Linked DNA regions of Diceros bicornis minor. The main gene of each other region encodes a partner of the protein of the gene in region 3 in a complex. Links are inferred from orthologs where the notes say so. Each region holds a gene or a part of one and is shown on either strand. Other genes may lie near its edges. The genes, in order: NUP98, CETN2, NUP214 and CETN3.

The links.
Region 1: NUP214 (region 3) and NUP98 share a complex: the UniProt entries of both Homo sapiens proteins name them as parts of the nuclear pore complex. The link is inferred for Diceros bicornis minor from reciprocal best matches to the Homo sapiens genes NUP214 and NUP98.
Region 2: NUP214 (region 3) and CETN2 share a complex: the UniProt entries of both Homo sapiens proteins name them as parts of the nuclear pore complex. The link is inferred for Diceros bicornis minor from reciprocal best matches to the Homo sapiens genes NUP214 and CETN2.
Region 4: NUP214 (region 3) and CETN3 share a complex: the UniProt entries of both Homo sapiens proteins name them as parts of the nuclear pore complex. The link is inferred for Diceros bicornis minor from reciprocal best matches to the Homo sapiens genes NUP214 and CETN3.

The regions. Positions count from the first base shown.
Region 1 is NC_080746.1:58,890,371-58,897,958, reverse strand, and holds the start of NUP98 (nuclear pore complex protein Nup98-Nup96), read left to right. Parts: upstream 1-4,577; 5' UTR 4,578-4,699; intron 4,700-4,890; exon of another isoform or gene 4,891-5,136; intron 5,137-5,736; exon of another isoform or gene 5,737-5,824; intron 5,825-7,588. UniProt on the Homo sapiens protein: Plays a role in the nuclear pore complex (NPC) assembly and/or maintenance. NUP98 and NUP96 are involved in the bidirectional transport across the NPC. May anchor NUP153 and TPR to the NPC.
Region 2 is NC_080781.1:136,968,442-136,975,772, forward strand, and holds the start of CETN2 (centrin-2), read right to left. Parts: upstream 3,009-7,331; coding exon 2,949-3,008; intron 2,530-2,948; exon of another isoform or gene 2,264-2,529; intron 2,165-2,263; exon of another isoform or gene 2,069-2,164; intron 1,961-2,068; coding exon 1,781-1,960; intron 848-1,780; coding exon 689-847; intron 371-688; coding exon 242-370; intron 1-241. UniProt on the Homo sapiens protein: Plays a fundamental role in microtubule organizing center structure and function. Required for centriole duplication and correct spindle formation. Has a role in regulating cytokinesis and genome stability via cooperation with CALM1 and CCP110.
Region 3 is NC_080767.1:38,433,098-38,440,473, forward strand, and holds the start of NUP214 (nuclear pore complex protein Nup214), read left to right. Parts: upstream 1-4,358; 5' UTR 4,359-4,437; coding exon 4,438-4,482; intron 4,483-6,735; coding exon 6,736-6,931; intron 6,932-7,376. Other genes in the region: AIF1L (allograft inflammatory factor 1-like), read left to right, coding at 282-369. UniProt on the Homo sapiens protein: Part of the nuclear pore complex. Has a critical role in nucleocytoplasmic transport.
Region 4 is NC_080740.1:16,898,045-16,904,910, forward strand, and holds the start of CETN3 (centrin-3), read right to left. Parts: upstream 3,018-6,866; 5' UTR 2,927-3,017; coding exon 2,910-2,926; intron 1,087-2,909; coding exon 951-1,086; intron 1-950. UniProt on the Homo sapiens protein: Plays a fundamental role in microtubule-organizing center structure and function. As a component of the TREX-2 complex, involved in the export of mRNAs to the cytoplasm through the nuclear pores.

The DNA.
Region 1 (7,588 bases), on a different chromosome or scaffold from region 3:
ATTATTCTACCAGAAAAAGGAATGAAGTACTGATGCATGCTGCAACATGGATGAACCTTGAAAACATTATGCTGGGCCAGTCCCGTGGCTTAGCGGTTAAATGTGCGCGCTCTGCTGCTGGCGGCCCGGGTTTGGATCCCGGGCACGCACCGATGCACCACTTCTCCGGCCATGCTGAGGCCGCGCCCCACATACAGCAACTAGAAGGATGTGCAGCTATGATATACAACTATCTACTGGGGCTTTGGGGGAAAATAAATAAATAAATAAAATCTTAAAAAAAAAAAAGAAAACATTATGCTAAGTGAAAGAAGTCAGACACAAAGGTCACATATTATATGATTCCATTTATATGAAATATATGAAATGTCCAGAATAAGCAAATCCATTGAGAGAGAAAGTAGATTAGTAATTGCCAGGGGCTGGGGAAAGGGGGAGATGGAGAATGACTGCTAATGGGTCTTGGGTTATGAAAATGTTCTGGAATTAGACAGTGGTGATGGTTGCACAACATTGTGATTATACTAAAAACCTCCGAATTGTATATTTTCTTTTCTTTCTTTCTTTTTTTTTTGCTGAGGAAGATTCGCCCTGAGCTAACATCTGTTACCAATCTTCCTCTTTTTGTATGTGAGCCGCTGCCATGGCATGGTCACTGACAAGTGGTGTAGGTCCACGCGCGGGAACCGAACCCAGGCTGCCGAAGCAGAGCACACTGAACTTAAGTTCGAACTTAAGGGCCACCACGGCTGGCCCTGAATTGTATATTTTAAATAGGTCAATGTTATATTATGTGAATTATATCTCAATTTTAAAAAAATCTGGCAAAGAGCTGGGCCTCAATAAATGGCAGTTATTATTACAAAAAAGATGATAAAGGAGAGAAATAGAAACTGAACAAATAGGACACATAGAAAGTATAAAATGTTAGATAAAATCCTGAATATATCAGTAAATTCATTAAATGCAATGGACTAAATGCTCTAATAAAAAGTCAAAGGTATTCACACAAGATTTACAAAAATCTAATTGTATGCTATTTATAAACATCACCTTCCCTTATCAAGTTATACAAAAAGAGGAAGGAAATCAATATTTACTGAGTGCTTACCATGTGCCAAACATGTGCCCAGTCCTTTGCAAATTCCATTATCTTCTTTGACCTTCACAACTACTTTACAAAATAGGAATTATTATTTTGTGTGTGTGTGTGAGGAAGATCAGCCCTGAGCTAACATCTGATGCCAATCCTCCTCTTTTTTTTTTGCTGAGGAAGATTGGCTTTGGGCTAACATCTGTGCCCATCTTCCTCTGGGATGCCGCCACAGCATGGCTTAACAAGCGGCACATCAGTGCACACCCGGGATCCGAACCTGCGAACCCTGGGCCACCAAAGCAGAGCGTGTACACCTAACTGCTGTGCCACCGGGCCAGCCCCCAAAATAGGAATTATTGTGCCCATTTTATAGACAAGGAAACTGGGGCACAGAACAACTAAATATAATTTGTGCAAGGTCTAAAAGGTAAGCAGAATGAGGACTTGAACTCAGCTCTCTTTGACTCCAACTCTGCTGCTCTTTCCAATGCACCATATAAGAAATCTAGCACCATCAATCTGGAAGGAAGTCTCTTGACCTTCTATGATTCTGCAGTCCTTACAGGTCTCTCTCCTCCCTGAGCACTAATCCTTCATAACTGCATAGAGTGAGTTCTCAGGGCATATGGTGAGAGACTGAGGGCTCCCAGGACAGAGATGGACTTTACTTAGCTCTGTCTCTCTTGGCCAGGGCAGAGCACTGAGCTGTGGACATCTCTGGGCTCCTGATGCCCAGGACAGAGTTTGGCTCAGCAAGTGTTTGTGAACACGCACCAAACTCCTTGTCTTTAGAGGGGAAGAAGGAAGATGATGATAACCAAAAGGAGTATTATGAGAATCAGGCAGATTAAGAGTATGTGGGCCCAGGAAGCCCTGGCCCGCACAGAAGTCCTTCCTGGGGCAGAAGTCCCTGGGAATGATGAGCTTGTGGGCCACATGCTTACCAGAGTACCTAACAAGAGGTCCTTCTACTTAGAAATCACCATGGTCACAGGAAATTCCTCGCTGGAGCACTCCTTGTCTAATGTCTCCCCCTCCAGTCTTCTAACAAGTATGCACTATTTAAGCATCCCAGCTCCTGCACACCCACTAGTACTTTGGACTGAATGTACTCACTTCCTCACTCAAGACATGTTTCTGAGCCCCTTTTCTGTGTCAGAATCCATGTCTCACAATATTTAGCAAGGGAATTCCTTGACATTTTTAAAGAATACAAATCATATCTATTATTTATTGAGGGCTTACTGGGTACCACGTACCATGCTAAGTGCTTGATCTCATTTAAGTCTCACAACAACTCTGTGATGCAAGTATAGTTGTTATCCCCATTTTACAGACAAGGAAACTAAGGTTCCGAAGTAGTAAGCAATTTTCCCAAGTTCATACAGCTAATACATGTTTGGGCTCAGATTTAAACCCAAGGTTCTCTGACTCAAAAGTCCCACACATCTATTATTATTCTACTTAAGAAATTAATTCACTCATTCATGTGTCAAACATTTAACGTGCACCTATACTGTGTGCCTGGCCTTAGAAGCACCAGAATAAATAGACGAGAGGTTTAAACATAATTGGGTTTGAGGATTGGAAGGTGAGAAATCAAAAGTTCAGGAGGGCAGTGAGGAAGCTACTGTAACTCTCCAGAGAGACTAATGACTTTCTGATGCAGAGCACAAACAAAGGAGGGTGGAGGGAAAAGAGAGATGTTTAGTTGGAGGAGTTGGGGGAAGGTGTCTGGAGTCATATATTTAAACTAGCTTTACTACTTGACTATTCATGTATTTATTTCTTTCTTCCTTCAAGCATCTACTGAGCATCTACAATGTACCAGGTTTCTCCTATCCATTATCTTATTTATTTATTTATTTTTTGTGAGGAAGATCAGCCCTGAGCTAACATCCATGCTAATCCTCTTTTTTGCTGAGGAAGACCGGCTCTGAGCTAACATCTATTGCCAATCTTTCTCCTTTTCTCCCCCCTAAAGCCCCAGTAGATAGTTGTATGTCATAGTTGCACATCCTTCTAGTTGCTGTATGTGGGACACGGCCTCAGCATGGCGGGAGAAGCGGTGCGTTGGTGCGCCCCCGGGATCCCAACCCGGGCCGCCAGTAGCGGAGCGCCTGCACTTAACTGCTAAGCCACAGCCCGGCCCCATTATCTTATTTTATCTTTAAGACCATTCCACTTTTTGACAAACTATCTCTAATCCATTGCCACCCCGGAAAACTTGGAAGGATTTAAGTTCACCTACGTTTTGGGCAGAGCCCATTTCAATTTTGTATTGATGTCCCAGGAGGAGGTGGTAGCGGTGGAGCGGTAATCCGAATAGGCTTTGCTTTCTGAGCACACTCCCTGCTATTCTGTGTGGGACCCTCAGTCACTAGGTCTAGTTTCCAGAACACGCTCGACCTTCTCCCCTTGTAATATTCCGCTTCTGCTCTGAGCTAGGCCCCAGAGGAAAGGAACACCAAGATGTAGAAAATGCAGCTCTGACCTTCAAGATCCCGGGCACAGAAGACAGGAAAGTAAATAATAGGATACAAAGTAACAAGGCTGTAACAGAGGCCTGCCCAAGCATTAGCCCAACAAGCTGGGAGAGATCGGCAAATGCATCCCAGCCAGGAAGGGAACATTTGAACCAGGCCTTTAAGAATAAGCAGGAGTTCCTAAAGTGCAGGTAGGAAAGAAAATCCAAGAATCCTCATTTGTACCAAGCCCTATGCTGAGCCATTCCCTAGGGCATCGCTAAGGCTCTTAACGTCTATTCCAGGCATTCAGAGAGGGAAAGGTTGTGCTGGGGCTGCTATGGGTCAGGAGACAAGGAGGCCAGGGGTTAAAGCCTCGGAGCAGCTGCAGACAAACTACTCGGACAGACGGACCTCCCAGGAGGGCCCTCCAGCTTCGCAGGCGGTGTGGCCAGGAAGTGCTGGCGGGAGGATGGGGAAGCCTTCCCATCACCGCCTGCGGACTGGGGCCAGGAAAGAGTAGAATAGTTACCAGGCCATCCTGGAGCCTTTCCTCTGATTGGCCCCAGCTTCAGCAGCCCGTGTCTCTCAGGTCCAGGGAAGGGGGCGGAGCCTCGGCATAGCGTCACCATTCTTCTCCCACACCCAGGCCGGTGCACCCCAACGTAGCCACTCACTAACCCACTTCGAAGGGCCCTGTGTGACGCCACGACTCCCTCCCAGCCAACCGCGGCGGCGAGGGGCGGGACTCCATGCCTCCCACCGCCCCTCCCCTTTCCTCCCCTAACTCCTGGGGTCCCTCCTCTTCCTCCTCTCCCCTTCTCCCGAAGACCGGCCCCACGTTCGCTTTCAAAAGACTCGTTGCCCAATGAGTGACAGGGCGGGCCTAGAGTGGCGGCGGCGTCTGCCAATGCGCAGACAGCGGGGGCGGAGCGCCCGGAGCGAGCCTCTGACGGCGGGCGGCGTGTGACGCAGTCGGGCCCTCTGCGCGCTGCGCCCGAAGCGGCGGTCGCTGTCGGTGGCGGCGGAGGCGGCGACTGCGACGGTTTCGTGGCGGCCGCGCGCTGCTGTCTGAGCGGCGGGTGGCGGACGGGCCTAGGCCCTCACTCCTGAGCTTCCCATCCCGCGCCGCACCGCGGTAAGTCGGGAGCCCGGGCGGTGGCGGCCGGGGACCGGCAGGCTCCTCCTCCCCTCAGGGCGGGCGGGTGCGCGGGGCGTCCCAGGCCCTCTCCGCGCGGAAGTCTCGCGCCCGGCGCGCACCTTCTGCCCTGAGGGAGGGGGCGGGCCCTGCGACTCGGCGGCCCCGAGGCCCGGCTCTTCGGTCGCTGGGAGGGAATGGGTTATCTGTGGGGTCTGGGCCCGGGAGTCTCCTGGTGCAGCCTGCGCTGAGGGAGCGTCCCTCTCTGTGGTTGTACTCATTCATTTGTCCGGCAGTGATTAGGTGGGCCGGCCCTGTGAGGGGCAGCGCCTGACGACCCTGAATACGGGCCCCCCGGCACTTCTTGACGGTCGTGCGGGATGGCCTTTATTGGCGTTGGTCTCTCCACAGGGGAAATTTGCAGCCCGAGGGTTAGGGTAAGTGGGCCGGGAGTTTGTTAGCTTTTTAAAACAGTATCTGAGAATTAAGGTCGGTTTAGTGGAGTAAAAGGTTATCTGCTGTTCTGCCACGTGTTCCATGTAAAGCTAGATGGGGTTTCTGGATTACTATAGCCATGAGGACTTTAGGAGTGAAGCCGATCCGCCTACCCTACATCACGTGCAAGTTTTATAGATGGAGAAACCGAGGCCTAGAGAAGGGACAAGATTAGCCAATGCCAGATCTGACTCAGTCTAGACGGTTTTCTACTACACCACTCTCCCTAAGTGTTCCAGCCTTCCCTTACTGAGGATTCCCTTTGGGGAGTTGGGTGGGGCAGCGGGGGCATTTGGTAGTTAGAAGCAGACGTAGCTTCTTCAGTAGCGTTTGAGATTTAGTTGCTACCAGCTCTATTCATGGTAAGACGGAAGCTTCATTAGTGGTACTCTAACCTAGAGCATGAGGTTAGGTTTAGGTACTTTTAGGTTTAATGTTGGTTAAAGAATTATCGGTGATGTTATATATTAGAAACGAGTCGATAAGACTACATGTCATGGGCTAGTTTGCTGTTCCAAATCTGAAATTTTTATTTGTGTCAGCTGCTGGGGACTCAGAAGAGACAGTCCAGTTCCTGACGCACAACAGTACTGAAGTAGAAAGCGGGAAGTATAGACAAGACACATAAAGGTAGGCAGCAGTTTTGTAGTTATTGTACCTTGGAACTCATGGCTCCTCTCTGGTACAGAATTCTAAGTATTGTAGTAGAATAAGGTGAGAAAATTAAACTCCATTTTGGAAGAAGAAACTAACTGGAAGAAAGAAAGAGCAGTGATCATTCCCTGTGACAGTTACATAAATTCAGAGAGAAACTTTTGTTAGCTGAGTAACAGAGGGTATGTTTACTTAGTGGCAGAAGTTAGGATATTTAAAAAATAAAACTGGAATTTGGACAGGATGGAGGTACTGGGGAATACTTTGATAGAATTATTTTTTGACTCTTCATTAAGGTTTGGTGAAATTGAATTAGTTGCCACTTTGGTGCGTTCACATCAGTCAGATCGTTGCTTTGGTCTGTTTAGATGAAAAGCAAAAACTGAAAAACAGTAGTGTATAAGAACAGAAGAGAACTGGAGTCTAAATACTAAGAGGTGAACAGGGTATATTTACTGTGACATTTTCTCAGTTCAAGCATCACCCTCTTCTGGGAAGCCTTTCCTGGCATTCTCTCCCCTGCAAGCTTCCATAACACTTATTTGATACATCTATTTATAGTACAAATCATTTTGTATTTTAGCTGTTTGTCTTTTTATTAGACTGTGGTAAAATATTTTTGTCTTATCTTTGTATTCAGGTTACTTGGCACATGGTAGGCTCTCAGTAAGTGTGTTTGCGTGAACGAATAAACAAATATGGAGAAGTTAAACCTAAAAATAGTCAATAAAGAATCTGGGTATTTGTGTGCTCTTGAATATGGGGCCCAGATAGAGGACCCATACCGTTTGTATATTATGTGGTACTTTGGTACATGACTTTTTTCAAGCTGTGAATTTGGTTTCCTAAAAGTTCTGCTTGCTCTTAGATATCTAGATGCTAGTGGACATGAATAAAGTCAGTTATGTTATTTTATTGTGATATTACTTTTATGCTGGCAATAAACGTAGGAAGTAAGGAGTAGTAGTTCTGATATTTAATTTCCAATAAAGAGCACATTCGTAATTATGCAATTTGTTGGGCCGGCCCTGTGGCTTCGCAGTTAAGTGCACGTGCTCCACTACTGGCGGCCGGGGTTTGGATCCTGGGCGCACACCGACGCACCGCTTCTCCGGCCATGCTGAGGCCGCGTCCCACATACAGCAACTAGAAGGATGTGCAACTATGACGTACAACTATCTACTGGGGCTTTGGGGAAAAAAAAAAGGAGGAGGATTGGCAATAGATGTTAGCTCAGAGCCGGTCTTCCTCAGCAAAAAGAGGAGGATTGGCTTGGATGTTAGCTCAGGGCTGATCTTCCTCACAAAAAATAAATAAATAAATAAATTATGCAATTTGTTGAAAGGTTAGAGGACTAAGAAATTTAGAGATTTAACAGTAGGTATTAGAGGCAAGGTGTATAAACAGTGTTTCTTGAGAATTTGGTGTATTCTTTGCGTTTGGAATTGAACCTGAGTATTTGGTACAGTATGTCTCTAGAGTAGGGTCTCTCAGCCTCAGCACTAGTGACATTTTGGGCCAGATAATTCTTTATTGTAGGGGAGTTGTCTTCTGTATTGTAGGATGTATAGCAGTATTCCTGGCCTCTCCCTGGATTTAGATACCGTAGCCACCCCTCCGCCCCCCAAGTTGTAACAATCAAGAATGTCTCCAGACATTATCAGATGTCCCCTGGGAGGCAAAATTCCCCGTGATTGAGACCACTGCTGTAGAGGAAACACTCCCACTATTTCAGTGAAA
Region 2 (7,331 bases), on a different chromosome or scaffold from region 3:
AAAATGACAGCAGTAGTACTTTTACTACTTTACAAAGGGTAAAATGACTTTTCTTGTGACTTTGTGGCCTTGAAGAAAGCTAAGTAGAACCGAAGCATCCTAATTTTCAGTTACAAATACTATCCTTTATCAGCTGAACTCTCCAGTTTGTATTAACTTTTCTTCAGTGAAGACACTTACATGATTCAAATGTATGCAGCATTATGGGTGGAAAATATGCTGATTATTTTAGCTAACTTACCATTTTCTGAGTCATCACAGTCAAAAAGTCACTAAAGTTCATTTTTCCTGTCCCTTCCTTATCAATTTCGCTGATCATTTTCTTGATCTCCTCTTTCTTGGGTTCAAATCCCAGTGCCCTCATTGCCACCTACAACGAAAACAGGATCATCTCAATAAGCACATCTAAACCTAGAGGGACAAAAAATGACAGCATTGAGACTATTGAGCCAGCATCAGACACAATCATGTTAAAATGATTAGGAAACACTATAACATTAAGCAAATCGATATTTGTGCTCAATTTTATTTAATAATACTTGAAGTAAGTAAAAACAGGAAAACAGAGCACAGTGCATCCTCCCCTGTTATTTTTTGGAGGGAGAAGAGGGCAAAAGGGGTAGAGCGGAAAGAAGATAAAGAGGCAGAGGAAAGGCAAGGCAGCAGAGCAGGAATGCACAGGGCTTGCCTTAAGTTCCTTAACATCTATAGTCCCAGTTCCATCAGCATCGAAGAGATCAAAAGCTTCTCGGATTTCCTGTTTCTGCTCTTCAGTAAGCTCTGGCTTAGGACTCATCCTTTTTCGCTGGGCAGTTGATGCCATGTTTGCCTTCTTAAAGCTGGAGGCCTTCAGACATTTTACAAACACATAAGCACAATATTATGCAATTTAGTCCATACTTTACATAAAAGTTACAGACAACCATATCTATTTTAAAAATAGTTTATACCAACCAATTCCAAAGCTTTGCTTAGCAGAAGAGATAATAGAGTTTACTGGAAAGAATAATGAGTCTTTCCATGCACCTCTATCCCTCTCTCTTCTTTACTATGGTTTCCAAGAATTGTTCTTTTGGATATCTCTTGTTGAAAATCACCCCCAAAGAGAGCTAGCCAAGGAGCTGACTGTGGATAACTGTACAGATGATCAGCTCTCCTTGAATTGGGGGATCCTAATTATAGAAACGTCCTTACAACACCCACTTGCGGTACTCCAGTTCCCTCTAAGTACTTTCTGATTACTTCCAGATTTGGCCAAATATTACTAAGTTAAGATGTATAGCCTGTCAATATCGAATAATAAAACTCAATCCACTCGGTACATTTGTGCCTTCTCCAAGAAGCTCAAAGCGTCTCGCAAATGTCCCTATATTTACATTGTAAAATGCACGTTAACAATCAAACATAATAAACCTCCCCCCAGCTCTGTGCGGAAACTTTGGTAGAGCGAGGCGGCCAGGAGGCCAGCGTCTGAGAAGCGTTGAGACCTGCGGGGAATCCGAGTCTTCTTTGCCCACTGACGGTCACCGAGGGGGCCGGGGAAGGCCAGGGGAGCCCAAGAGGCGGGTTGAGGCCGGCTGTGGGTGAAGGGGAGGCAGCGGCGAATCACAGGCCCAGCAGGGCGCCGGGCGTCTCTACCCTACTCTTCCGGGAAAGAGTTCAGAGGAAGGAGGGCCGCGCCAAAGCCAAGAACGGCGCAGCAAAGGCAGCGGGGCCAGGCCGAGGCCTAGGAAGGGCTCAGCCTCTGCCCGCCAGGCGCGACAGGGCTGCCGGCACTCACCATCTCCGACCGACTCCGCTGCCTGTTGTTACGGCAACCGACGTACACACTGACTCGGCGCCGATCCCACTGTCCCGCGCGCGCGGCCCCCGCTCCCCATTGGCGCAGGGCTGGAGTGGGTGGGGCTAACCCGACAAAGGCCAGGGCCGGGGCGGGGGGCGGTGCGCTCGCGGCCAAGACCTGGCCTCATTGGGCAGGATCATGCCGCGAGCGCCGATTGGCTGAGCCTGCTCCAAGCCGAGCCAATCCCCTTAGTGGAGGAGGCTCGGCTGATCCTCAGCTCATGCGGCAGAGCGAAAAGGGTGGTCGCCGGCGGCTGGAGGTGTGTGGGTGCTGTCTGCGGGCGTGCTGTCTGAGGCCGGCCAGGAGGGCGCCTTCGGACAAGTAAGGGTTGCCACCTCGCTCTTGGAGGCTGCCTTGAGTCGGCGACAGGGCGGGAGGGCCAGGGGCTGGGTGGACGATCCGGGTCGGGTGCTTTCTGGTCCGGCCTAAGAATTAGGGTCAGAGGGGCCAGAGAAGACCCTGACCTTGGGTGTTGGAGTGGAAACTGTACTGACGGAGCAACTGAGATCCAGAGAAGGAAAGGGGCAGGCCGAGCATTGTCGCAGAGGTTCAGACGGCTGGGACTTAGAAGCTGAATCCAGCAGAGGATCTTTGAGGGTGTCTCTTCGAAAGCAGCCCTGTCCCCCAGACCAGATTCCAAGAGAGGATCACTTTAGTTCTCACCTGGCTAAAAGCAGCCCAGGCAGGTGAGCTGGGAGCGGGGAACGGACTTTGAAGAGAGTGAAGGAAATATGAGCGAGCATGAGGGGGAGAAGTCATCAAGATATACTCTTTTTGACACCCAAACACTCAAGGCGGATAGGGAGGAGCATTCCAGGTCGAGACACCCTGAGGAGTTTTGGAAGTGTGAGGCGTGCTTGGAGAACTACAAGGGGGCATGTGCAAGGGTGTGGCTGAAATGGAGCTGCAGCAGTGGAGCTGGAGGTCCAGGGTTGCCCTCCTCAGCCAGCGCAGTGTAGGAGCGCTCCGTGGCTCTCAGCCCTTACCTGCATCTCCTCTGGGCATTGGGGCAGCATTTAGGGAGGCAGGGGACAGAGCATAAGTTTCTCAGGCTGAGAAAAGCCTGAGATTTATTAGTGTCCGTTAAATTAAAGTGTTCACTGACCTTCTGCCCTTTGCCCTCTTCCCCTTTGAGCATGAACCAGGTCGAAAACCTTTTGGTCATATTTGACTCTTTCTTTTCCTGTCCCGTCCCCATTAACCAGCCTCCAAGTTCTATCAGTTCTCCCCCTCGAATGCCATTTCTTTTCTCTTTTCCACCTCTGTGGCTCCTCTTCCAATTCAGGCCTTCAGCAGCAGCCTCCCACCTAGCAGAAGCCAGAGTTCTCACCATGGTCTGCAAGGTTTGGCATGACTCCCTCCACCCCCACTCCTCCTCTGGCTCGCTATGGCCCCGGGACACTTCCTTGCTGGCCTCAAATGCACAGGCTCCTTCCTACCTTAGAACTTTTGCTCTTACTGTTCCTTCTGCCTACTGGTTCACTTCTTTCCCTCCCCCAGGTCTTTGCTCAACTGTCACCTTCTCAGTGAGCCACCCTAAGCACCCTATTTAGCACTGCAGCCCCCAGTACCCCCAAGCCCTGCACCTTGCTCTACTCTTTTCCCATAGTATGTATCACCTTCTAACCTACTGTGTATTTTACTTCTTTATTTTGTTCTTTATTACCCATCCACTAGGAGGTGAGCTCCAGGAGAGCAGGCAGCTCTGTTTTGTTCATGGCTGGCCCTCCAGTACCTGGAGTAGGGAGGGGCACATGGTGGGTGCTTGGTAAATCTCTGCTGAGCAACTGGCAAGTAGGCCCCCTGTTTCCTGCTTCTCACAGCTCTGCTGAGGTCACCCCCATGCTCTGAAACCTTCAGAGGCTTCCCGTGACTGCAGAATAAAGTCCACACTCAGCCTGGCATCTGAGCCTTCTACCCAGTTTTGCCCCTCCTAGTCCTTCTAACATCATGTCCCTTCACACCCTACTTCCCAGTCAGTCTGCGGGGTGGCATCCTGCCAGAGTAGAAGGAACAACCACAAATTCTGCCTTGACCGTGTACCAGCTGTGTGACTTTGGGAAAGTCACTGGACGTCTCTTGTTTGAGCCCTACAGCGGCTGTGAGGTCAGCAGGAAGGATTGCTGCTCTACAGATGAGGCCTCTTAGGCCAGCTGCAGCAGCACAATTCAACCTGTACTCCGTTCCAGGCTCTTTGCTGGCCCTCACAGCCTAGTGAGCCAAGACAGACGTGGAAAAAAAGTATAAACCAGCGTGCTAAGTGTCAGAATGGGAGCAGAAATGAGTGCTAAGGAGGCAGCTAACCTTGCCTGGGGAGGGGGACGAGGTCTCACAGAGGTGACAGTTGAGCTAGGCCTTGAAGGATGAGGAGAAACTCACCATGGAGAGGAGGGGAAGATATTCCAGGCAGAGGGAACAGCATTAGCTAAAGCTCGCAGGATGCTGATGAGTTTCTCAGTGGCCAGCACAAATTCAAAGCCAGGGCCTTTCTGTGTCCTAAAAGTAAACAGACAAGCAGAGAGGCCCACAGGTCCATGAAAAGACAAGGTTGAGCTGATTGAGTCCTGGGGGAAGTGCGTTTTGTCTTAAGTCCTCTTTGCATTTTTCTTGCACAGGCAGATGTTGTCTGTCCATGGACTAAAGTGATGAGCTTGCAGTAGCCACATTTTAGCTTCCCGCACTGACTCCATGGAAGGCAGCAGGCAGGGCCCCAGCTACCCCAACACACCCCTCTGAATTGCTCTGCATTTCCATTTACAAAGAGGCTGATCTCCCATGTTTTTGAAGAAGAGAACACTTGAGTGTCTCTCTCTATATATATCTGGTTTGAAATGGACAGACTATCCCTTCCTTTTGTCTCCAGGACTCAGTGGCAGGGAACTTTCCCCAGCAGGAAGGAGGAGTTGGGCTCACTCACTTCTCTATTCATCGAATCCTATCAGCAGCCCTCTTCCCCTTGCCCAGAAGTTGAGCGAGGCACTTGGATTTCACCATTAGAATGTGGGTCTCTTTTCCTAGGTCATTTTTAGCCTAAGACTTTGTCCCAGTGTGTATAGAGGGCGTACATACTGGTTTCTAATGGATTCAAAGACCTACTGTTTTAAAGGAAAAAGACTTGAGGCTTCCGATGTGTGAACCTTAACGATCCCAGCCCCTAGAACATGCTCTTTGAGGTCTTATTTTCCCATTCAGAGCTATGTGTGTATGTGTGGTAAAATAGACAGAACTGAAAATTGACCATCTGAACCATTTGTAGGTATACAGTTCAGGGGCGTCAAGTACAATTACATTGCTGTGCATCCATCCCCAAAACTCTTTCATCTTGTAGAACTGAAACTCTATACCTGCTAAACACTAACTCCTCCTCCCTCTCCCCCAGCCCCTGGGACCCACCATCCTACATTCTGTCTCTCAGTTGACTACTCTAGGGACCTCATACAAGTGAAATCATACAGTATCTGTCCTTTCATGACTGGCTTCTTCCACTTAGCATAATGTCCCCAAGGTTCTTATTTCACTAAACATAATGTCCTTGAGGTTCATCCATGCTGTTGCATATTGCAGAATTCCCTTCTTTTTTGAGGCTGAATAGTATTCTATTATATGTATATACCACATTTGCTTTTTTTTTACTTTTTATTATTTTATTGAGGTCACATTGGTTTATAACATTGTGTACATCATTATATTTCAGCTTCTGTATAGATTGCATCGTGTTCACCACCAAGTCTGATCTCCATCTGTCACCCATACATTTATGTCCCTTTACCCTTTTCACCCTCCCCCCACCACCTTACCCTCTGGTAACCACCAATCTATTCTCCTTATCTATGTGTTTGTTTATCTTCCATGTATGAATGAAATCATACAGTGTTTGACCTTCTCCATCTGACTTATTTTGCTTAGCATAATATCCTCAAGGTCTATCTATGTTGTCACAAATGGTATGATTTCATCTTTTTTATGGCTAAGTAGTATTCCATTGTGTGTGTGTGTGTGTGTGTGTGTGTGTGTGTGTGTGTATACCACATCTTATCCATTCATCCGTCGATGGACACTTGGGTTGCTTCCACCTTTTGGCTTCTGTGAATAGTGCTGCCGTGAACATGGGTGTAAAAATATCTGTTCAAATCCTTGCTTTCAATTTTGGGGGATATTGTTTGGTGGATTGTTTGATCCTATGATTATTCTATATTTAATTTTTTGAGGGACCACCGTACTGTTTCCCACAGCAGCTGCACCATTCTACATTCCCACCAGCAGTGAACAAGGGTTCCAGTTTCTCTATATCCTTGTCAACACTTGTTATTTTCTATTTTCTGGGTTTTTTTGATAATAGCCATCCTAATGGGTATGAAGTGATATCTCATTGTGGTTTTGATTTACATTTCCCTAATGATTAGTGATGTTAAGCATCTTTTCATGTGCTCGTTGGCCATGTGTAAAGTATATATTTTTTGGAGAAATGTCTATTCAATCAGAGCTCTTCTTGATGTGCATTTTATCCCTACCGTGTAGCACATGGGGGATTTAGGTTGAGGGGTGCCAGTGGGATCTGCCTTATTCCTTAGAGATGGCTAAGTATCACCAAAATTCTTATCTGGCTTATAGTATTTACAAACTTTACTACAATGTGTGTATAACTCGAGATAAAGCAGATTTGATTTTGTTCTTACAAGAGGCTGCTTTGCTGAGGATCGCGTGAGCATTGTTTGAACAGTATGGATCCACAGGGGCAGGATGGGTTCTTCTTTCACCTCCCGGATCATCCCCGAGAGACTGCGGAGAGCAGGCTTTAAGGCTTCTTGCTTTTCTACTAGTACAGGGGGGCTATGGAAGTGGCAGCTGTGCTATTTGGAGTTCAGGACTGCAAAGAAAACTTGTGTTGATTTCATGTGACTGCTGTAACAAATGACCACAAACTTGGTAGCTAAAAACAACAGAAACTTATCCTCTTACAGTTCTGGAGACCAGAAGTCTGAAGTCAGGGTGTCCTTGGCTTGTGACTGCATCACTCCAAATGCTGTCTGCCCTCTCATTTCATCATGCTTCCCTGAGTATCTGGAGAAATTGAGTGAGAAGCCGGCAGTGGGTATTCATGAATGTAGCATCTTAGGCAGGCGTCTGTGTGTATGTGGTGGAGAGCAGAAGGGAGTCTGCCTGGCATGTGCACACGCCATGTACTCATGGGGCCAGTGGAGATGTGGGTGCTCAGTTTGTGCCAGGCACTGTGTTCATGATGAGATACAGTGGTGAACAAGGCAGACAGAACTGCTAGCGCACTCTGTTTGCTGGACCTCGGTGCAAGTGCCGAAATTCTTGTTCCCCAGCTGGTACACACTGAGCCCAGTGAGTCAGAGCTCACCAGTCACATCTGTTTAGGGTGAACAGATGACAGGGCCCCCTGTCAACACAAGGAGGATTATGGGATAGAGAGAGGGAGGGGATAGGCATAGAACTCCAGGTCAACTTTGCTTATTCATTATAT
Region 3 (7,376 bases):
AAGTCAATGATCTGGAGTCCCCTCCTGCCTTGGACTGCCTGTGTGGCTCTGAGGAGTCACATTGCCACTCTGCGTCTCAGTTTTCTCCTCTGTAAAGTGGGACTAGCAGCCCCTTCCACATTGCTGCCTTCATGGGCTTCCGAGAAGATTCCACTTAAGGATGGATGCAAGGGCATTCTGTTGAGAACCCTGCTGATGTGAGGGCTGGGATGATCTTTTCTTGGATGAGGGAAGGGGTCTTAATCCTGTTTTGTTTTGTTTTTTCTCCATCTCCAAACCAGAGTCATGATGTTTGAAGGGAAAGCCAATGAGAGCAGCCCCAAGCCAGTCGGCCCCCCTCCAGAGAGAGACATTGCCAGCCTGCCCTGAGGACCCCTGCCTGGACCTGCCCCGCCCTCCCTGCCCCTGTTCCTCCTCCTGATCTCGCTGCCCTCTCGACTCATTGTGATTTGTCTTATTTGTTTTGTTTGGTCCTTGTGCGTTTGTTTGTTTGTTTCATTGGCAGAATCAGTGATCTTTTTGTAAAGCACAAATTATCTGCCTTAAGGGGGCTCTGGGTGGGGAATCCTGAGTCTTGGGTCCCCTCCCTCTCTTCTCCCATCCGTCCCTTCTCCCTGTGCAGAAGGGCTTGACATCAAACCAAAAACCGGAGGGGCAGGGCTAGGACAGGGAGACTGGAAGCCTGTGATCCCCACGCTTGAAGCTGGCACCGTCCATCCTTCCAGGACGTCTCTGAGCTAAGTCCAGGCTAGCTGCCCTGGCCTGGGTGAGGACCTCAGCCCACTTATAGGAGACCCTGGGGTAGCCTCCTTAGGGTTTCCTTGGACAGCTTTGTTGTTCCAGTGCTCTTGTGTTGTCCAGGACGTGGCCACTCAGTGTCCCACTGCCCCACCTGATCCCCCCTCAGTCCACACTTCTTCTCATCCTCAGTGAGGTGACATAAGGAGACAAAGAGAGGGGCTTGGCAACTTGAGTCCTTCAAGAAGGTTCAGGAAGGAATCCTCTGGCTTGCCCCCTGGCCACACCTTTACAGGCAGCTCAGAGGGAGGGTGCAGCCTGCCGTCCCTTGCTGGGGCAGCAAAGGGCTTTGGAGGTAGAGGGGAGGCCAGGGGCCTTGAGGGGGTCAGCTCATCTAGTCCTACCTTTTATAGTCCTACCTTTTAGGGAGGATGCTGAGGGCATCCTCAGCATAGGAGATAGGGAGATAGGAGATATCAGCATAGGAGAATGAGGATTAAAATGCTCATGGCAAAAAGAGTCAACCCCACTGTTAAGCCAAGAGCTGAGAAATAGGAGGTTGCCTTTCTCATTCAAATCTGCTTGAAACCTGACTGCACTTCCCCCATTTGCCTTTCCACCTTACTCACACCATTCATTCATTCATTCATTCACTCAGTCATTCAACAGATATTTATTGACAACCTATTATAAGCTTTAAGTCCCCCTACTTTGTCCTGCCATGTGCTGTGTCCACTGTCTCGCTTACTCATCTCTCCGTTTCCAAATTGCCTAAAACCTTGAGCTTGGGGATTGGATTGGGGTCACCTGTGTCCTTTATTATGGACTCACAGGGTTTCAGAGCCCGGATCCACCCTGTAAGTTATCTGAGCCAGTCCTCTCATTTCACAGGCGAGAAAACTGTCGTGGTCCACAGGGATTAAGTGCCTTGCGCAAGGTCAGGGGTTAATCTGGAGCTGGAAGAGTCTGGACTGAAGCCCACGTGTGCAGATGCCCTGCCCATGCTTCATCTCTGCCCTGGGCTGTCTCAGTCAGGGATGAAAACAAGGGAAGGGGCAGGGAGGGGCATGCTCCTAGGTCAACACTTGAGGAAGGCCCAGGCCAGGACTCCCCCTTCCCGGTGCCCCCGAGTCAGCATCAGGGTTTGGGTAAGGACCAGGCCTGCCTTTGCAGTCCTGCCTTCCCTAGAGCTTCTCGGCCAAGCTGCTTCTCAGAACTCATGCAGGAAGGTGTCACTCTCGGCCCCATCTTGGCTGAGCAGGAACCCCAGCCTTGACCCCACCTGTGTTCTGGAGCCCCTTACCCTACTGGCTCAGAGATGCACTCATCCATTGAACATATTTATTAAGCACCTGCTATGGGTCAAGAGCTAAGAACCCAGTAGGGAAATAGACTCCTGGAATTTAGAGTCTTGTGGGGAAGTCACACCCAGACGATAATGAGTGAGATGAAGGTTAGGAAAGAGGGGGATATGAGGTGACTGCACTGCAATCCTGGGGGTACCTAGCTAGGCCCCAGACTGGGCAAGAGTCTTGGAGAAGCCTTCGCAAAACCTTAAGTGGAAAGGTCTGGGGACTGTTGGAGGTTGGAGCTAGTGTGGGCTCCCTGCAGCTCCTTAGTGACCCATAATCAAGGGCCCAAGGAGCGGCCCTTACAGCAGCTTGAGGGTATGGAGCCGGTAGGGGATGGGGAAATGGCCAGGTTGGGTTAATCTGCTGGTCTAAACCAGTTCAGGAGCAAGATTATTTGGCCATGACTGGCTGATCTTCAGCCTAAGGAGCTGCTTCAAATGCACAGGCCCAGCTGAAGTTTAAACCCCAGCAAAACATTCCTTCCTCTAAATGTAAAATTTCACCCCACCTCCTGCCCTCCCTTGGTGGTTTTTGTTTTTTCGCCTGAGATCCTTACATGAGCAACTGCCTGTCCCCACCCCTTCCCACTGCCTCTCCTCTCAGAGACCTTTGAGCAAGGTAAAGCCTTCCTTGACTACCCATCATAGTCTAGGACTGTTCCTCACTCAGAGAGGAGGGCAGAACCAACCAGGCTTATTTCAGCAGGTTCCACACTTTACAAGACTGCAGGAAGCCTCCTTAAGGGAGGAGAGCAAGTGAGTGTGTCCCCAGCTTCTGGAAAGGGCAGGAAAGAGAGTTCTCTCATTGGATGGGGGGTGTCCTGGGAAACCTTATCAGTTCCCTTCACCATTTCTCGGAACTCAACCCCTGGAGGGAGTGAATCTCAAGAGCGGTCCCTGGAAAGGGGGTCTGCATGTATTTCAGGTTGTGGCTATTGGCTCTAGGACTGTTCTCTGGCTAAGGGCTCAGCTTCTTAGAACTTCAGCTGTCTTCTTTCTGAAAGACCAAATCTAACTAATGTAACCAGCAACTTGGGGGCTGCCAAGTATGGCTTTGTCCCTGCAACTCAAAAGGAAGGAGTGTGTCGGGCAAGTTCAGGTGGATGCGGTATGTGTGTGTGTGTGAGTGTGTATGGTGCCGGATATCGTGTCTACAGACTGGAAATAAAACAGACAAACTTATCAATGTCTTCATTGGTGTATTTTGGGGATGGTTTGGGGCTCAGCAAATTCAGAAAAGCTATGTAATATAGTAACAGACCGAATGAATGTGTCCTGTGTGCTAGGCTCTCTTAAATGCTGAGCTTCATTTACTCCTCACAACAACCCCATGAGCCAGGTTCTACTATGTCATCCTTGTTTTATAAATGAGAAGCAGGCTTGGAGCAGATGAGCAGTTTGCTGACAACCAAACAGTAAGTGGCAGAGCATGGAGCTGACTCACCGGCTCCAAGTTAAGAATCTTTGTCCTAGAGCATTTATAATATAATTCCACTACAAAAACCTCTACGTAGGACTGTCTAATAGTCATCAACCAGCAGATCCAGAGAAGCTGAATTCTCAGGCTGCCTCTGCTACTTTCTGACTAAGGGGCACTGGGGAATTTTCTTAACTTCTCTGGGCTTCCAGTTACTTCATCAATTAAACGGCAATGATGCCCCTAGGTGACTAGGATGTCTTGAAGATTACATAACACATCTGAAGTGTTCTGCGGTTTCCAGGGTCTTGCCCTGTAAATGATAACCTTGAAAGGAGTAAACAAGGCTGACCTTTGGTGCCTTTTAACCTCCCCTTTCAGCCTTCGTGCTTAGACACGTGGAGAGGTCCCACCCCGCCACCTTTCTGAACCTCTTTTCCTCCACACCCCCCTCCAAACCTCTCTCAAGAGCCGCCCCTGGAAATATCTGTGAAGTAGCGGGAACTATTAACCACCTACACCCCGGGGTTACTGTGAAGTCTCCAGCGAACAAACGGAGCGCTCGCGCGGGCGCCCGCTGCCCAATGAATGAAACCAACTCGAGGCGAGCCCGCGCTGAGCGCGAACGCGGGGGCGGCACGTGGACTCTCCCGGGCGCGAGCATGGGCCCTGGGGCCACGGGCCCTACTCGGCCGAGCCGGCCAATGGGAGGCGGCGGCCAGGATTGCGCGCGACTTCAGACGGGCCCCCAGCCTCCCTCCACCACGCGGCGGACGGAAGCGCGTGACGTCAGCACAGCGCGCCGGAAATGTGGCGTTCGCTGCGCGCCGCTAACGCCGAGGAAAGGAAGTTGGCCTCGGGGCGGTCTGGGCTGTGTGGGCAAGGCCGCGGGCGGCAGCGGCGGCTGCTTCGACCAGCTGAGGGCGGCACGATGGGAGACGAGATGGATGCCATGATCCCCGAGCGGGAGATGAAGGTCAGAGACTGGCCGGGGCCTCCCTCCCTTGCTTAGTCGCGGCGTTGCCTTGGAGCCGCGCTGAACGGCGAAGCGCGGGTTCTGCCCCGCCTCCGGCTTGAACAGTTGCCGCGTTCCGAGTTGTCACCGGCGCGCCCCGGAGCACTCTGCCCCGCCGCCGGCGTGGAAGCCCCCCCGAACGCAGTTTCCCCGCCCCTTGCTGCTCTTGTGCGCGCCACTCGAGTTACCCTGGCTCCTGTCACGTGGTGGTCGGAGGCGTGGCGATAACTACCGTGTGTTGAGCGATTACTGTGTGCCAGGCACTGTGATTACCGTGTGGTGATCATCACAGCAACGCCGCGAAGTAGTCGTTAATGTAGAGGAGCAAATGGGGCTCGGAAAGCAGCTTACTCAAAGTCACATTTGACAAGGCGGCTGAAATCCAGGGATGTCTTGTTTAAGAGCCTCTCTTCTTCACTCGCACGGTACCACCTCTGTAAGGTGGGCCAGGCTTGCCTAACACAGAGCTGGGGTTCGTCACCTGTCCTACAAAACCTTTGGTTAAGTGGAATAGGAGGACTGTTCTGGTGCTGGGAATCAGCCAAAAAAGAGGGTCAGGTGATCCAAATGATGGTTATAAACACCTGAAAGGGAGTGAATTGCAGGAAGATTTTAGGCGTTTGAACAAGAAATCACTGAAATGTGTTTTGGGTGGTAATCCATACCGTATTTAGAGTAGTGCTTCTCTCTTCGTTCTTGAGAATCACTGTGGGTGAGCCACCCAGTGAGAGTGTGGCGTTTTCCTCAGAGATGCCGAGGTGGAAGGAAAAAAAGGTTTTAAAACCACAGCCTTTGAGGATGATAGTCTGCCTTTGAGTTACTGATTATAACAGAAAGGAGAGCTCTGCTGTACCTCTTCGTCCCACTGGCTCCCTATGCCCGTGTGACTATGACCCAAATAGGAAATTTGGGATGATCAGGATGAGAATGACAAAGACTGAAAATTTTATTCTACTGTATGAAACCACAGTATGGTCTCACCTGGAAAGTGGTGTGAATTTCTGATCACCGTACTCAGGTGGAGTTAAGAAGGGTATTTCCTTTAATCTTTTAGCAAATATGTATTCAACATCGAATCCAAGGAAATTAGTATGTGGGGTATGTTAGGGGTCCTGTATGAAGCGCCATAAGTACAAAAATGGAGGCTGAGAAAAACTCTCTTTGGCTTTTACAGTTTTGGAATGTAAGCAAAAGGGGATTCACATTTTTTTCACCAAAACTTTGACTTGAAGATAGGTTTGGAATTGAAGGAAAAAAACTGTATATAGTACAACTTAACATAGTGATTGGTAAACCTAGGGAACTCTGTTACCGGGAGGTGGTACACACTGAAAATTGTCTTTGAAAGCATATAGGTAAGTTCATGGAAGACTAGGTGAGTCAGGCATTGACAGATCGGGGAAGGCTCCCAGGCCCTGAGGCCCTTGAAAATGGAAGGAAATGAAAACTGATAGTGGGTGGGGGTTGGAGGTGTGACAGTGGGTGTGGCAGAGGTGATGGCACACTTGTGGGAGGGAAGCGGTGTTGTGAGGTGAGGCTCTGTAGGTGGATGGGTCAGCCCCTTCCTGGCCTTATAGCCTGCCTGAAGGGTCTTGGACTTGTGTTTAGATGTCTTTTAGCATCTAGGTATGTTTATAGGACTTGAACACCAAGACATTGACCATACATATCCTTTTCTGTGATGGATTTTTTTATCATTTGGTGCAGGTAAGCCCATTCTTGGGATCTGGTTCTTTCTGTGGTCATTATTTCCATATATATATTTATTGAGGGCTGCACTGGAAGTTCCAGCTTACAGCAGAGTTGGAGAATGCTTTCAGTATTTAACAACAGTTTGTTAAGCATTACTCTGGGTCCTGAGCAATGCATACCATGAAATAGGACAAGATTATAAATAATAAAGTGCAGCTTGTGTGGTGGTTTAGGACAATAAGTTAACTAGGAATTCAGAAAAGATCAGTGTGAGCTGGATTAGTCAAGGAAGGCTTCATGAAAGAATTTTGAAAGTTTTATTTCATTCAATAAATACTAACAAGCAGTGTGCCAGGCACCACACTATGCATAGGAAACTTAAAAATGATTGAGCCACACAGTCTTTGGCCTCAGGGTAGTATATCTTTTTGTTGTACTGGAATTGGGTCTACTGGAATATAATGACAGACATTTAATTTCCTGTTTTCCCTAAATTGGTCTTGTTTTGATCTCTCACAACAGGATTTTCAGTTTAGAGCACTGAAGAAGGTGAGAATCTTTGATTCCCCTGAGGAGTTGCCCAAAGAACGCTCAAGTCTGCTTGCTGTGTCCAACAAATACGGTCTGGTCTTTGCTGGTGGAGCCAGTGGGTTGCAGATTTTTCCTACTAAAAATCTCCTTATTCAAAATAAACCTGGAGACGATCCCAATAAGATAGGTAAGTTACTTGCTTTGTGTCGGTAGTAGAGAGAGGAGTGTGGTGAAGTGTGAATGTAGTTTCCTTCCCAAGAAAATCATTCCAGTATTAAAATTAAAACTGCTGTTAGTCCTAAGGTTGACCCCCAAGGAGAATAAGTTCCAGGTAGGATGCTGGAAGCCTTTCAGGGTGTTCTCTTTGGTCCTTTGTATTTCTCTTTCAATGAGTTGTTCCTCTGAGCTCAGGGGGAAGAAGAATTTACCATTCTGCCATGCTTTTGTTTTCGCTCAGTTGAAGTTGGGTTCTGGCTCTCTAGGAGAAGGATTTTGTTGCATGGCTTTTTAATTAACACAACAGTCCCATCCAAACAAATGGGAATGTGTACTCTTTAGACCATTGTTGCAAAAATATGGGTACAGGACACTGTTTTCAACAAGGGCAGCAGCCACAGTTAGTTTCCCCAGGT
Region 4 (6,866 bases), on a different chromosome or scaffold from region 3:
CACCTTACCTGAATGGGAAGAGCTCAGCTGGAAGCAAGCAGTTAGCAAATGAGAAAAGTAGGTGGTAGTAAAAGTGTGGAGAGCATTCAATAAAAATCAAAGGAATCTGAACTTCATGCAGTGTACAATGAGGAGCCACTAATGGTTTATCAGCAATGAACAATCTATTAAAAGAATTTTAGAATAATCAATCTAATGGAAGTGTACAGGGTGAACTAGAAATGGAGAAACCATTTAGGAAGCTCCAGGTATGAATTAAGATCCCAAACCAAGATAGTAACAATGGCAACAAATGGATGAGGCATAAAGGTAGAATTGAGCAAAGCTGGGTAACTAAAAAAAAAATAGTGGAAAAAGAGAGTTAAAACGCTACTAAAATGCTACCTTTCTCATTATGCTGAGTGTGAGATCCATACTACTCCAAACACCAATTTCCCCTTGTATCTTTATAAATAATTCTAGCCCTTAAAGTTGACATTTTTCCCCATTAGCATTGTGTCAACATCAAACATCACTTATGTTGTTTGCACCAGAGAAAGTAGGTTGAGACTGTGTTACTAACATGTTCAAATTAAAAGACAACACTCCTCCAATCTGAGAAAAGAATGAGTCACCAAAAAAAAAAAACCCAGTGGGAAGAATATAATAAGAACTGATTAAATCCTACAGTTTTGAAATCTTTTAATTACGTGAATGAAAAATAAGTCCCTCCATAGGAATGTATTTTTACATTTAAAATACTACTCACTTTACCATGTGAAAAGGAGTTTCTAAAAAAATGTTAGGAGTACTATTCAATTTTATTATAGCACTTAACTGTGAATGTTTAAAATGGTTTCATATTTCCAAAAAGTTTAGTTGCTAAAATACTTATTTAGAAATGTATTTTTAACCAAGTCAAAAATGCAAATCATTTCAACAGAAAAAAAAATTTTTAAGTATACTATTACCTTTAATTCATGATAATCTATTGCTTCATCTTTGTCTGTGTCAAATAGTTCAAAAGCATCTTTAATTTCTTGTTTCTGCTCCTCAGAGAGTTCTCTTCTTTTTTTCCTCTTTGTTTTGTCTACTACAAGCTCACTTCTATGAAATGAAACAAAAAGTTTTAGTTCACTTTAATCCTATTCTCCTATGCCTCTAAATGATTAAAATAAGATTCCAAAAATGGAACACAAAAATTAGCCAACGAATAATTTTCTAAATTTCTAAAAAGAAGGTATTTTGAAGAAAGATAAATTTCCCTTACATGAGTCAAAGCCCTGCTCATTCCATAGTCTAAGCTATTATAAATCGGCACTTCCCAAAACTGAAAAGTGTTACAGGTTATTAAAAGAAATGAGGACCAAATCCTTCCTCCTAGCTTTGTGTTTATTCCCACGGTGGAACAAACAAAAACTGTGAATAAGAAACATTACTTTTATGTCAGAAACCCCAACAAAAAACAAAGCACCCACACTTATTAGTCACATCATTCTACGATATAAAGTGTTAAAAAAAAGAAAGTAAAATTCCTAATTGACCATCACTATATATTTGGTTTACTTTTGATAGTTTATCATTAAGTTATCAAAACTGCTACACAAAAACATATAATTTACCAACTAACTTACAAAGTGTTTTGGCACTGTAAGTTAAAAATGTTTTTCTATTACATGTTTCTAATAGTTTGGCATTTTATAATTTCTTCCGTTGATATTAACGAATCAGCCAAAATACTGAGTCTAAAAATATCACGATTAAACACCAAAAAAAGTAATACTATTTGGGCTAATTCCATATAATTACGTGAAGAATCAATGGTCTTTTTAAATCTCTCTTAACATGTAAACTTAATTTCTCACGAACTCTGGAAAAACTTGAAAAGGAAATTTATTTTAAAAGCCAGAAATGTCTTCCTTAAGAGATGCCGATCTAAGTGTTCCAAATTTTCAAATGGGGCTGCAACACTTGTAATTGAGAACAAATTTTGAAACAGAAGAATTCTGTAAAACGATAAAACGTAAAACCCAGTTACTTTTATTAGAACACCTTCTCTATTTGCATTTGAAGTTGTTTTGTTCTCCGAAATCTACAAAAAAACACAGGCAAGAGATGGCTAGAACTGGACCAGGAGCATGACAAAGCTGAGGAAGATCTTTCTTCACACAAGCTTGGACATTCCCGGGGTCATTCTCTTCCCAGGATTCCGGAAGGCCAAGTCCACAACAGACCCACAAGTGACCCCATCCAAGAGGACAACGATTATCCCTTGGCAGAACACGGCACCGTTTTAGAGTGGCGTTAACTACATAGATATTTTTAAGGTAAAATGTCTAGATGGGGCTGGGGAAGGGGCAAGAGAGGGTGAGAGGCTGGAACAGAATGAAAGGTAAAGAAACTCAGGAAATAAGGAACTCTACGACATTACCAATTAAAGTCACTAAAATGGGTCTCCGGTTATACCGTAAAGCAGAGCCCCGAGAGAAGAGCAAGGAGGCCTTTTATCTTACTTCCAAAACTTAAAGGTATGTATGTGAGCAGTACTGCAGCTGAGGTTAAGGCTGCAGACCAGGAGCGAGGAACTGAACGAATGGATGCTCCATGGCCTGATTTCTCGCAGAAACACCGCGAGATGAAACCTCGCGATATTTCACTTCCTCCTTGCTACTAAAACCACTCGTCCTTTTGGCGGTCCAAAGCACAGTGCTGCCAGACATGACTATGCACGGGGCTCATCACCTGCGGGACACCAGGGGCTCCAGGGTGGGGAGTCCGGGCCCGGGAAGGTTGGCCGAGGCTCCTTTCCCTCATCCCAAACTGCATCCCCCTTCCTCTCGCCTCGGCTCCAAACTGCCTCCCTTCTACACACACCCGCCCTGGGGCCCGCTGCGGGGTGGGGAGAGCATTGCCGCCTCCTCATTACCGACCTCAGAGTTAAACTCATTTTCTCTTCGGACAGAGACGTTTCTCTCAAGAACGACTTTAAACCCCTACCCAAGGCAGCACGACTTCCACAACCCGTTCAACAGACACCAACGACCTCGGCGGCCTCAAGGACCTCCCACGAGCTAGTCACTTCTGAGCTGGATTGGTTGAAATTGCTAATGTCCTGCCCATTAAGGCGGAGGCGGCACTAGGCCTCTGCTCTCATTGGGCGTCTTCCGCGTCAATCAACGAAACCTCTCTGCCGGCCTCTCCCGCTGCTCCTCCCGCCTCCTGGATTGGCCTGTTGAGTTTTCCCCGAATCCTTTGCGGAGCCGAGATCTGAGTGTCTGAGTCCCAGCGTTGCGGTTCGGGTGGCGGGTGGCTGCACCTCGCCTCACCCCAGGAGGGTTGCGGCCTGTGGGCGACGTTCCGGAGACACGACGGACGGCTCCGAGGGAAGGAGAGGGAGGGAAGAGAAGAAACACGCCGGAGGCCATCCTCCCGCTAGTAGGAGGGAGTAGCAAACTTCGAGGTCTGCGAAATTGGCTCCAGTGTTCTAAAACCTGGACGGCCGATGGCCTAAGGACACAGAGAGTTTGTTTAAAACGCAGATTTAAATGTCCCTTTCCCCCAATCTGATTCTAGTACGTGTGAATCTGCATCTTTTTTCCTTACAACCTGTCGAGTGATTCTGAGGCCGGTGCTGTGGATTATTTTTGGATAATAACTGAGTTGGATTATTAGGCTATTTACGGTGAAGCTGTACCTACACCGCCCTTGGCTCTGCTCTTCCTCCTTTTAACGGATTTGTTCGCTTATGTCCCTTATTTTCCAGTGCTGTAAATTGCACGAATATAACACTGCCAAACCAAGTCTCTTGAAGCTCCCTTGAGCATTGAATGTGTTTACTTGTTCATGTCTTGTACTAGACTGAATTTCTTCAAGGCCAGGACTCCGTCATGCGTTTAACGTTATTCCTAGTGCCTAATACAATGTCTGATGCATAGATGCTCAGTAAATATTTGTTGCATTGAATGGAATGTTGCTGTGAAAACTCAGAAAGTACTGACCTGAGCTGCAAATCTCATAAAGGAATAAAATAGCCTGAAGGTGGGAGTCGAGCAGAGGAAGGGGGAAGATATATAAACACTGATATATCTATAGAGAGATATGTATACAGGTTTAGAGAAAAGAGAACACAGCAGGGCAGAAGAAAGGCTTCCTGAAGGAGACGGTGTATATGTTAGACCTAAAGGATAAGCTAAATTTGGACTAGTAATGGTAGTATGATGGACTAAAGCTAAAAATTAATAGTTACAGCATAGCCGCCGCCCCCCAAAAAAAAACAAGAGTAGAAAGGGTAGTCTCGTAATCTAAAAATAAGCTGGTTCCTGACAATACCAATAAAACTGACAGATGTATGGAAGTGTAACAAAGGGAATATTGCCACTAATAAGGTTGGTAATTTAAAAGAGAGGTTTAAAAATTATTAAAATACTTTATCTGACTTCATGCTGCCAATAAATATTAATATCAAAATGACATAGTCACTTCAAGGAAAACAGATAAGGACTCAAAAAAGACAGAAAACTGAATTATGTCAATAACTGTAGATAGGACTGGAAAAATGATGCCCAAGTTCTGTACCAAGAGATAAAAAGGCATCCAGCCCACTCAGATTTATGGGTGAGTTTTAAAAATTCTTGAAGAGCTAATTCTTATGCTTTAAACTCAAAGCATGATGGGGAGAGCTTCTTAGCTTAATGTTTGAAACTAGCACAACCCTTATCATCCTAAACAGCATTTCAAGTCGCTGAATGTATGCTCCATGATGAGACTGTGTGCCTATCGCTCACCATTGTATGTGCCTCCCTCGTGTTTTATGTTCATTAGTGAACATATGTGCAAAAATCGTGGACGTTGGCAAAATCAATTTGGTATTATCTTCAAGGAACATTTCACTATAACCAAATAGAATTTATTTTAAAAATGCAAAGATAGTTCACAATATAAATCTGTATTAATTAATTATAATTCTAGGTTAAAGAGATCATCTCAATGTCCAAAAAGGCACTGAAAATATTCAACACCCATTCCTAATAAAATATATATTAATAAACTAGATATAAAAGGTACTTTTTTTTAACTTGAGCAACAGACTTAAAATGCTAGTGTTTCTCAAACCTAGTCCCTGAAACACTAGAATTTTGTGCTTTGTTTGTGGTAATTTCATGAAGAATGGGTGGGCAAATATTTGTGGGCAAATAATTTGGGAAGATAGATTTTTAAATGTTAAATTAAAATGTTTTCAACAGGATATCCTGTTGTAGGAATGACAGGGAAGTCACATGCATCACTTCTGCTCGTATTTTATTAGTGAGAATTAGTGACATGTCCACTCCTTTCCACCAGGGAGGCTGGGAAAAGAAATCTCTAACTGGAAAACTGTGTGCCCTGCTAAAACTTGGGGTCAGATCGTCTATTACTAAAGATAAGATGGGATTAGCAGCTCTGCTACAGACACCTTTAAAGCAGTTATCAACACTATCTTTGAAACTCTAATCAATGCTGTAATAAAACAGGAAAAGAAAGTGATATATAAAATTAACATCATGTGTGGATGAAATGATTACCTGGAAAAATCCAAGAGTATCACAGTATTGGAATTGATAAAAGAATTCAGTAAAGTAGCTGATGATCAGAGAAATTTGCAAAATCAATAAGCATTTGCAAAATAAAAGAATAATAACAATACGAAATTCCTTCAAATAAATTTAACGGGAAACCTGTAGGTAGAAAATCACAAAATTTTACTAAAGGACATGAAATTTGAATAAATTGAAAAAGAAGCTCTACTTCTAGATGGGAAGATTCAGTACTGTAAAAATGTTAATTATGTCCTAGATTAATCTGTAAATTTAGTATAATCAAAATAAAAATGCTCACATTTTTTTCTCGAATTTAACAAAATTATTCTAAAGATTGTCTTAAGAATAATTGCATAAAAATAACTTAAAAATTGTGAAAAAGAATAATAATACAAAAATTGCTCTACAGGATATCAAAATGTATTTGTTACTATGGTAATCAGAATAGTAAGTCCAGAGCCAAAGCCAAAAGTAGTTAAAACTTCTGGTTTAAGAAGGTAGTAGCATTAGTAATTGTTTAGTCTTCCTCCTGAAACCTTAATAAAACAATAGTTGAGAAATTAGTTTCTAATACTGAAGTGACCTAGAGAGGTACCACCAGCAGACAAAGTATTTCAAAAAATATCTGAAAGACCAAAAGAGATATATTGACATATTTTTTGATCAAAAGAGCTTGTTGACAAATGAGATCATCAAAATGGCATCTCAGGATTTGTAGGGGGTGACTAAAGCTTCAGAAAGAGTTGATCTACCTCTCAGAGTCCCAAGAGAGACTCTAGGTGTAGAGTTGTGTGGTACAGTCGAGGATGGAAGTGAGAAGAGGGCTAAATACAAAATGTCAATTCAAAAGCTCTTTAGGAGGGGCCGGCCCTGTGGCTGAGTGGTTAAAGTTCCATGTGCTCCTCTTTGGCAGCCAGGTTCGCAGGTTTGGATCCTGGGCGCTGGGGCACGGACCTACACCACTTGTCAAGCCATGCTTTGGCAGTGATCCATCTACAAAATAGAGGAAGATTGGCACAGATGTTAGCTCAGGGCTAATCTTCCTCAAGCAAAAAAGAGGAAGATTGGCAATGGATGTTAGCTCAGGGCAAATCTTCCTCAGCAAAAAAAAAAAAAAAAAAAAAAAAAAACTCTTTGGGAGACCACTGCACTTCAATTCTTCCAGATTCCCCTCACCAGTATTCTCTCTCTCCATGTTTATCTTGAACCCCACTCTTAAAAATGAATGAAGAATCAAAAACCATTAGAGATATGAAGAAAATCAACAGAATGAAAAATAAAACAAAGGAAAACAACTATCTAGGAAGACTC